2 linked regions of the Drosophila melanogaster genome follow. The protein of the gene in region 1 interacts with the protein of each later gene in a pairwise test. Each region holds a gene or a part of one and is shown on either strand. Other genes may lie near its edges. The genes, in order: ND-20 and CG14053.

Region 1 (3,760 bases):
GCAGGATTTGTTGGATGGTTTTATTCGCAAGTTTGTGTTATGCCCCGAGTGCGACAATCCGGAGACCAATTTAACTGTGTCGGCCAAAAACCAGACCATTTCGCAGTCTTGCAAGGCATGCGGCTTCCATGGTCTGCTCAAGGTTAACCATAAAGTGAACACATTCATTGTGAAGAACCCCCCGTCATTGAATCCGGCCGCCCAAGGATCATCGCTAACCGAGGGCAAACGCTCGAGGAAACAGAAGCAGAAGAACGATAACGCCGATGGCTCCATGACCAATAACTCTTTGGCCAACAACTCTGGCGGTGAATCAGATGGCGGCAACGGCACAAATCAGGCTAGCCAAACTGAGGCCGAGATTAGCGCAGCTATTCCGGAGAAAACAGCCAAGGATGACGACGATGAGGGATGGAGTGTCGATGTTTCGAAGGTACGTTGTTTAATCCGTATATACTCGCAATTAGCTTAAAGAGCTATTCATATGTATATTACTACTCCACCCCGGTAGGAGGCTATTCGTGCTCGTTTGCAAGATCTGACTGATGGTGCTAAGGGTATGACTATTTCGGATGACTATGATAAAACTGAAAAGGAGCGCATTGATATTTTCTACGAGTTGGTTAAGGACAAGCGGGACAAGAAGCAATTGGATGATGTGCAAACTCACAAGGAGCTGGTGATTGAAGCCGAACGCTTGGATATTATTAACAAGGCTCCATTGGTTCTCGCCGAGCTGCTTTTCACTGAAAACATCATCAAGGACGTGCAGAAGAATCGCCCTTTGCTTCTTCGCTTCACCCTCAATAATCCAAAAGCACAGCGCTATCTAATTGGTGGAGTGGAGCAAACTGTAGAGCTGCATAAGGGTATATTGATGAGCAAGGTTGCTGGAATCTTCAAATTGTTTTATGATCTGGACATACTCGATGAGGCCGTCATACTGGAGTGGGCACAGAAGGTTAGCAAACGACATGTCTCGAAAAATATTGCTGCCGAAATACACGAGAAAGCTATGCCATTCGTTCTCTGGCTGAAGAATGCCGAGGAAGAGTCCTCCGAAAGTGAGGAGGAGGAGGACGATGAATCCGAGGAGGATAACTACGTTTCCAGTGCCGGCCAACGTGGCGGTCAACGGGTCGTCCAACGCGGAATTCCACGCGCTGTTGCAGGCGACGAGGATGACGAGGACGACGTGAACATCGACGATATCTAAAAGGAATCAAAAAGAGAACAGCTACCCTAATCCAACCAGTAATATTTTAAAAGGGGGAAAATCAAGCGAGCAAGCATAATCTACAATTCAAACTGAAATATAAATTAGCGAGTTAAATCAACATGTGGTTTTTTTTATCTTTAGTTCTTAAGAGTGCTAATCGTATTTTGAGTCGTCGCTTTACTACCATTCAATTGTTTGCATAACATTTCCCAAGCCGCTGTAACAATAGAATTACACCAACATATTACAAAATAAAGCAAACAAAAACATTAATAACTACTTTTTTACTTGCCTTTTGGTCAGCTTAAGCTATGACCTTCAAGCAAGTTGATTTTTTTAGCCAACCATTGCGTTCATGTGGGAAAAGGGCATAAAGTTCATGCTGCCGCAAGTGATGTGCTTGTGTGAGAATAGGATATCTAAAGTAAATTCGTATTTTATAGTATATTTTCCTGGTGCATTTGGTATTTTAGTTAGTAGTTCGGCGGCGGTCACATCATACGCATCCCCTATAAATCGAAATAAGTTGAAGTTACATAAATAGGTATTAAATGTTTAAATGCCCAGTCCTAGTATAACTACAGATTTACTTTAGCAGGATCAACATGCTGCGTTCGGCGATGATGTCATCGACCCTGTCCCGGGCTCTCCAAAAGGCGACTCAGACACCGAATGCGTCGATTTCGGCGCTGCCCGCTCTGAATTTGGCCCTGGTGCGCCAACAACAAACGCTTCCAGTTGCCGAAGTGGCCCAAAATCTGCCCAAGAAGGGCTACTCTCCGTTCGGCACCAAACAGTCCTCCGTTGCGGAGTGGTCACTGGCCAGACTGGACGATCTGCTCAACTGGGGTCGCAAGGGCTCGATCTGGCCACTGACTTTCGGTTTGGCCTGCTGTGCCGTCGAAATGATGCACATCGCTGCTCCGCGTTACGACATGGATCGATATGGTGTTGTGTTCCGTGCATCTCCACGTCAGGCCGATGTCATCATCGTCGCTGGCACGCTGACCAACAAAATGGCACCGGCCCTGCGAAAGGTCTACGACCAAATGCCCGAGCCACGTTGGGTCATCTCCATGGGCAGCTGTGCCAACGGCGGCGGCTACTACCATTACTCGTACTCCGTCGTCCGTGGCTGCGATAGGATAATCCCCGTCGACATATACGTACCCGGTTGTCCGCCAACCGCCGAGGCGCTCATGTACGGCGTTTTGCAGCTGCAGAAGAAGGTTAAGCGGATGAAGACGCTCCAGATGTGGTATAGGAAGTAAGGCAACGATCGGAACTTATATTTAAAATGTGAAACATCAAACGACATACGATTTTGCGAACAGAAATCATATTAAATATCGTTCTGTTAACGTTCAGTTGTTGTATACATTGTTTGTTGGATCACGAGGATATTGCAAATAAATGCCTTTCGATATAAATACAAACATTCAAGCTGTGCTTCTGTATCCAAACGTCAGCTTGAATCGTACGTGTGTTTGCCAACGGTCGTAATGAAAATCGTGAATTCGAAAAAAGTTTTGTTTCCCTTCAAAATGAGCGTGAAGTTAACGGCTCCTTCCTCTTTTTTTTATCGTGAATTGTATACACAACCATATCATTTAGTTGTCATAGAAACGATCGCACCAACCACAGGACAATCTGCTGTTTTTACTTAATTTTTCTGTATTCATTTCAAGGTCCTGACGTTTTCGGGACACAAAGTGCAAGAATATAAGCTCAGTTTAAAGTGTTTAAAATAGTTATATTTTTTAATTGGCAGATTTTTTTTTAACGCAACTGCAGAGTAAGCAAACCCTTAAAATACAATTATTCATGCTAACGTCCCAATAAACCCAACGAAAAATACAAAAAGAAATAAATATTTGTATAATTTACATATGCAATATAATTTGACTAGCCATTAACTAGTCTTGTGAATTCTGCCCAAGACTAATCTCCCCCATTTCGGTACTGGAAAGGCTTGGCGACAAGGTCGTGGACCTGGAGTTGCAAGCATTCTCATCCAGATTATAGTAATTCACTATTCGCTGTGGTGGTCGGTTGGAGATGACCTCTACGATTTGATTCACAACCCATTTGGTCAATTTGATGACGGCCACGTGTGCCGCAAACTGCAGGATCATGGCTCCAAAGCCCTTGTAGAGGCCACTAACTCCCTCGGAGACAATCGTTGTCTGATAGCAATCGACGACTCCTTGATAGTTTGTTAGAATGGGTACGACATCGTAGCCATTGTCGAGGTTGTCGATTATAGTTCGTGTTCCCTGCAATTGCAGACGGTGTAGAATCGTTTCGAACGGGAAGAACATGACCTCAGTGGTTATGATAGCAATAAGGCTGGCATAGATGTCCGCATTCTGTTGTTCCAGCGTGGTGTCCTGATACTTTCCACCCTGGCCGTCCTGGGAATTCTTTATACGAAGCCGCATTATGCGTGAGGACACGCCCCGTATCACGAGATTAAACAGATACTTGGTGATGCCAAAGGAGACACTTGGCCCGATTAGAGCCCAGGCTGGTAGCATACGG
Region 2 (4,900 bases), about 14 Mb from region 1:
TCCATTTCCAGTTCACAACTCCTTAACTATGAGTACTGTGGGCAGGAATAGTGTCAGCTGCCTTTGTCCGTTTAGATTTATGCCTCGGCTATCCTTGCCGACTTTTCAACTGCATCTCAGCTGGAAGAGCTGTCATTCGCACTTTGTTTATTATGAAATTAATTCACTTTGCTCGGCACTAAATGAATTTCAGCGTTTGCGGTCACGGATTTGTAATTATTGCGGCCTTGGGCTTACTTTGTGCTCACTTCCCATTCGGAATCTCATGCCCACAACCTCTCATCAATCACCTCCAGCTAACCAGGCTATTGAACCTGGCCAGGGAAAGATACTGACCCACTAACCGGATTCTACGGCTTGGGAAATTAATGACAATTAATTTTATTATTAATAAAATTTTATTAACGTGCTCTAAATTGATCCTGTGGACTTCTGCAGGAAACTAACTTCTCGCCATACACTGCTGTATCAACTTGAACTTGACGAGCAGATTAAATTCGAAGAATTTAGTTTCACTGTTTGATATCCCCACTTCACCCGGGATCACGATCAATCTTTCCCAACGATCTTGTCCACACAGTCGTAAACGCAAGTCTCGCATTTAGTCAACATCAATATCAGGGAGCTATCAATATCGATCACGGCCACCTGGCGAGCGATAAAGGAGGTGGGGAGCAATGAATGCACTTCTGTTCTTTTTCTCCCACGTTCTGGGTCTGCAGGCGCGCCAAGTGAGAAAGAGAAATCCGAAAAAGCCGAAAGTATAGAAACGATCTGTTTAAAAATAGTTTCGACGAAATGCATGCATTCTCGGCATTTGAATGGCTTTCCGACTCCAGGCGATGGCGCTTCGCTTCTGGAGGATTGGATCGGTGTGATTATCGGAGATCGGTGATCCGATCGGATGTACAAGATCACACATATTTAAGAGTCTGGTCGCTAGCCCAGCGATAGTTACAATCACCTTATCTGATCCAGGCGACTTACCTTTCGCCTGTTATTTGGTAATTAACTTGTTGCTGCCTGCACTCTTTGGCTTTTTTCCCTTCGATTGCTTCACTTTACTGCCGCAGTGTGCGAATTTACGACTTTGTTGACAGTTTGTGTTCTTCGCGTTACAATTGCAGTTGTCCAATCGTCGAGATTACGGATTGAACGGGGCGTCGAGTGTTCAATAAAACTGAATGAATGCGATTTCGATCGCGTCGCACTTTGACTGCGGTGCTTGACGTACAGCGTCCTTAGCAACTGGCCACACTCGATATGTCCTTGCGGTGAATGCACACTCGGTCACACTGAACGGCAATAATGGTGCTTCTAACACTGACTCCCGGCTTTGCTTTCCCTTTCCCGATGGCTTCACTGGCTTCCAAATCGCGGGAGCGAGTATTACTTTTTGGCGAGACGCAACCGATGTCGCTGTCAGCAGGGCAGGCGACGAATTAAATTAAATGCGAGCCGTGTAAGAGCAGAACGCCGAGCGCCGAGCAGCCGAAGAAGGAACGGCAGCAAAGACAAGCAAACAGCGAAGCACTCTCCTCTCCAGGCCTCTCGCACTGCTCCCTCGCTCCTTATCAGTGGTCAGCCCCAAAGAGCGCGCATGGAGAACTCTGGGCAGGAGTGGGAGCGGGAGAGGGAGAGCGCCGCCAAGTGATCGGACCCAATCTGCTGTGAATTATAGGCACCTTATCAGTTTATAATATTTCGTACATGTTTCGTGCTTCCAATTGTGTTGTCTGCATGCAAATAACACGGCACTTTCGGGCGGCAGCGGGGGGCCTCGGGGGTGGTCTCGATTGCTTACGCCTTTCTGGCTTAGTGTTAAATATTAATTAACAAATTTGCTCGAGTTGAACTGTGCGTAAATCGAAATCACAACGGCCATAAAAAGCGAATACAGCCTGTTTAGACCCACACTGAGCACTATTATACTCTATTCCAAGTCGAACCCCACTTCTTATTTCCTTTTTGCTTAGAAATGAATTTATTTTACAGTGCACACGGATAAACAGTTATTTCCATCGCCTGCATTTCGAATTTTATCCGCTGCAGAAGATTGCAGCACAGTATGGCAAACCCTATTACTTTTTATGTTTTCAAAACATTTTTTTTGTTTTTACCTATTCAAATTCTGCAATATTCATCCAGTCAGCCCATCATTTTTGTATTTCCCCTGCAATCGCAATCGAACTTTGCCCATGCAGCCTTACTGCAGCTCAAATTACAAATCGATTAGGCTCGCGTGCCATCCAAGCTGCAGCCAAAAGAAGTGCATTATCAAGGTCGGCGATGAGACGGCGAGTTCCCCGCGGGCCACAGCGAATGTCTGATGCTCTACACGGGCTTGGTGGAACGGTACATACAGCTCGGCCTCGTGAGGAGTCACGCAGTCAGCGAGCATGGGAAGTCAGACTTGACCGCGCTTCGCACTGATCGCATAATTTGCTGTACAAATAGTGATTTCTAATGCTAAAAATACACACCAGACCCAAGACCAGGCTGACCAGGCTGACTAGACTGGGCCTTCGGTCACAGGTAGGCCATCCCAGGTGAGTTGGTCGACCAACCCGTGATCCTATATACACGCCCGTCGGCTCCTGCCCTCCCAAACCCTTTCCCGCTCCGCGTTTATGGTTGTCGTAATGCGACAATATTGATAGCCGATTATGCCAGGCCATTGATAACGCCCTCGCTGGGAGGGGTGATTGCGGGAGGGGGACCGGGAACGGGAATGGTGGTGGGAATCAATTCCGCATAGTTCGTCCGAGGGTGGTCATGCCACGCCCCATTTCTAGTTGATAAGATAGTGGAGTCCAGGCCGGATGAAATGGAGCGCTGCTGCAGGCTTGACTTGCCGCAAGGAGCGAATTGGCGCCGCAGCAGGAACTGGAACAGGAACCTATGTACATATATACCCGGTTGCCAAGTGTCAGGCGCCTCAAGCTCCATGTTCATTCAAGCAAGCATATTTCACACACTACGGAAGCCCGGAATATATTTCCTTCTATCCGTAAAACTAAAAAAAAAAAACTAAAAAAAGTATATATTTTCTAGTAATGGACATCTCCCAATCGGACGACCTATACGAATGCGGAGTGGAGAGGGAAAGGGAGACTGTCCATCAGTCATCGCGCACCGTGAGAGATCCCCTTCAGGTGTTCCATTGGATAGCGTCTTTGGATGTGGCCCAGCTGGAGGACGAGACACCGCCCCCCAGTTTCTACTTCGATTTGCTGGAGACAAATGACGTCGAACTGGACTGCAGTGTTTACAGCGGAAAGCTTCTTGTAACGCTCGGTAGTCAGACAGATGTGTCGCAGCCAGAAGTTTCGCAGGAGTATGCAGACAACGCACTGGCGGTGGAACCAACAGATCTGAAAATATCAATACCTGAAGATGCGACAGCATGCCCATGTCATGCCGCATCTGATGATGAAGTATCAATTACAATATTTGTAGAAAGCGAAACTGAACCGGAACCACGTGGGAACTCCGAGCATCAACCAAGTCGCTTTTCGTTTTTTGGCATGTTGCTAAAGGCGGTCGTGGCACTGTCCGTGGTGAACGCCCTTTATGTTCTGTGGACGATCGGCTTTGAGGCCTTCAAGAACCGCGTATGGCAGTCATCTTCTGTGAATATGCCACCGCCTCGGACTACATCGATCAGGGAGACGCGTGCTTCGCTGCCCGAGAGCATTTGGCGAAGTGTTGAAGCTAAATTGGCTAGCCTGCGAGCCCGCTTGAACTAAGTCCGCTCCTGGCTGTCGGACTTTGTTAGTTTCAGCTTGGTTATTTATAAACCCATCCCGCTATTTTTACGCCTATGGCACCAGTTGCTGTTCCAGTCGATTCCTTCGCCGTCGACGACCACTGTTTGCTGTTGTTCTCGTTGCCGGCGGCGTTAGAGATTACGAGTAACACGGACTGCCCGAAAATACGGATTTCTGTTGTTGTGTACCCGGGACAACAACAACTATCCGGCCCAGCGATAAGCGTCGGAATCAACACGAATCTCGGTCAATAGCTCACCGATCCATAGCCAAATAAACGCCAAGCTGAGTCTCCAGTTCAAATCGAAATTTCTCGCTCTCCCTTGTGCCCTGCCTAAAATATTCCATGGCGCTGGTTATGCTACACCACCTAATCCGCGCATCCGTGGGACAATGATCCCGAATCGCCTTATCGGAACCAAGCACCTTTCGCCCATTGTCGCCTAATAGGTGCATTCACTCGCCTCCTCCCCAGGCGAAACGGAACTCGATCCCGACTAGCGTCATCTCTCTGGGCACTGCTACTATCTGATCACACCTGGCAATTGCTGGGGTCGTCGTGAAAGGCATTTAGTTCTTAACTAACCAAAAAAGCTCTTTTATGTATGACTCGAAACGATCTCTTTTTAGATATTTAACAATTACATAAAATCCAATAGTTTGAAAATTTGGATACGAATTCATTCAATTAGTTTTATTTGTATGGCAAAAATGTTTTTTTTTTGTCGAAAAATTGGGAAAGAAAACCTGTCCAAGAATGTCTAGTGCTTTAAGGGAATTCTGGCATAACTCGGCCAAAAACGGCCAAAAATCAATTATAATTACTGTTTTGTGAAGCTAATGGCCAAAGCCAACGATCCTTATCACTTTTTAAATGGTTTTGGGAAAAAAAATTTTTTTGCCAATTTTCGGATTTTTTTAGAAGGGGTAACATCATTAAAATTTGCGAAAAATGTTCAAAAATTAAAAATCGAAAATTTAAATGCTAATCGATTGGAAATTTAATTACGACTTCACAGAGGTATGGCATTCCGTGTTCGGTCCATAATTTCGTTTGTTTTGAACAAAATACTGAGTTTTTATGGCGGAAAATCTGAATTAAATTGAATTACCTAACTAGCAGGTGGGTC

What was found.
Region 2: the proteins of ND-20 (region 1) and CG14053 interact in a two-hybrid assay, tested with the Drosophila melanogaster proteins (one large-scale study listed by BioGRID).

Annotation. Positions count from the first base shown.
Region 1 is NC_004354.4:15,984,741-15,988,500, reverse strand, and holds ND-20 (NADH dehydrogenase (ubiquinone) 20 kDa subunit), read left to right. Parts: upstream 1-1,692; 5' UTR 1,693-1,763; exon of another isoform or gene 1,764-1,817; 5' UTR 1,818-1,824; coding exon 1,825-2,490; 3' UTR 2,491-3,028; downstream 3,029-3,760. Other genes in the region: eIF5 (eukaryotic translation initiation factor 5), read left to right, coding at 1-433, 512-1,216; Slc25A46a (solute carrier family 25 member 46a), read right to left, coding at 3,136-3,760.
Region 2 is NC_004354.4:2,191,127-2,196,026, reverse strand, and holds CG14053 (uncharacterized protein), read left to right. Parts: upstream 1-2,117; 5' UTR 2,118-2,549; intron 2,550-2,967; exon of another isoform or gene 2,968-3,054; 5' UTR 3,055-3,056; coding exon 3,057-3,749; 3' UTR 3,750-4,388; downstream 4,389-4,900.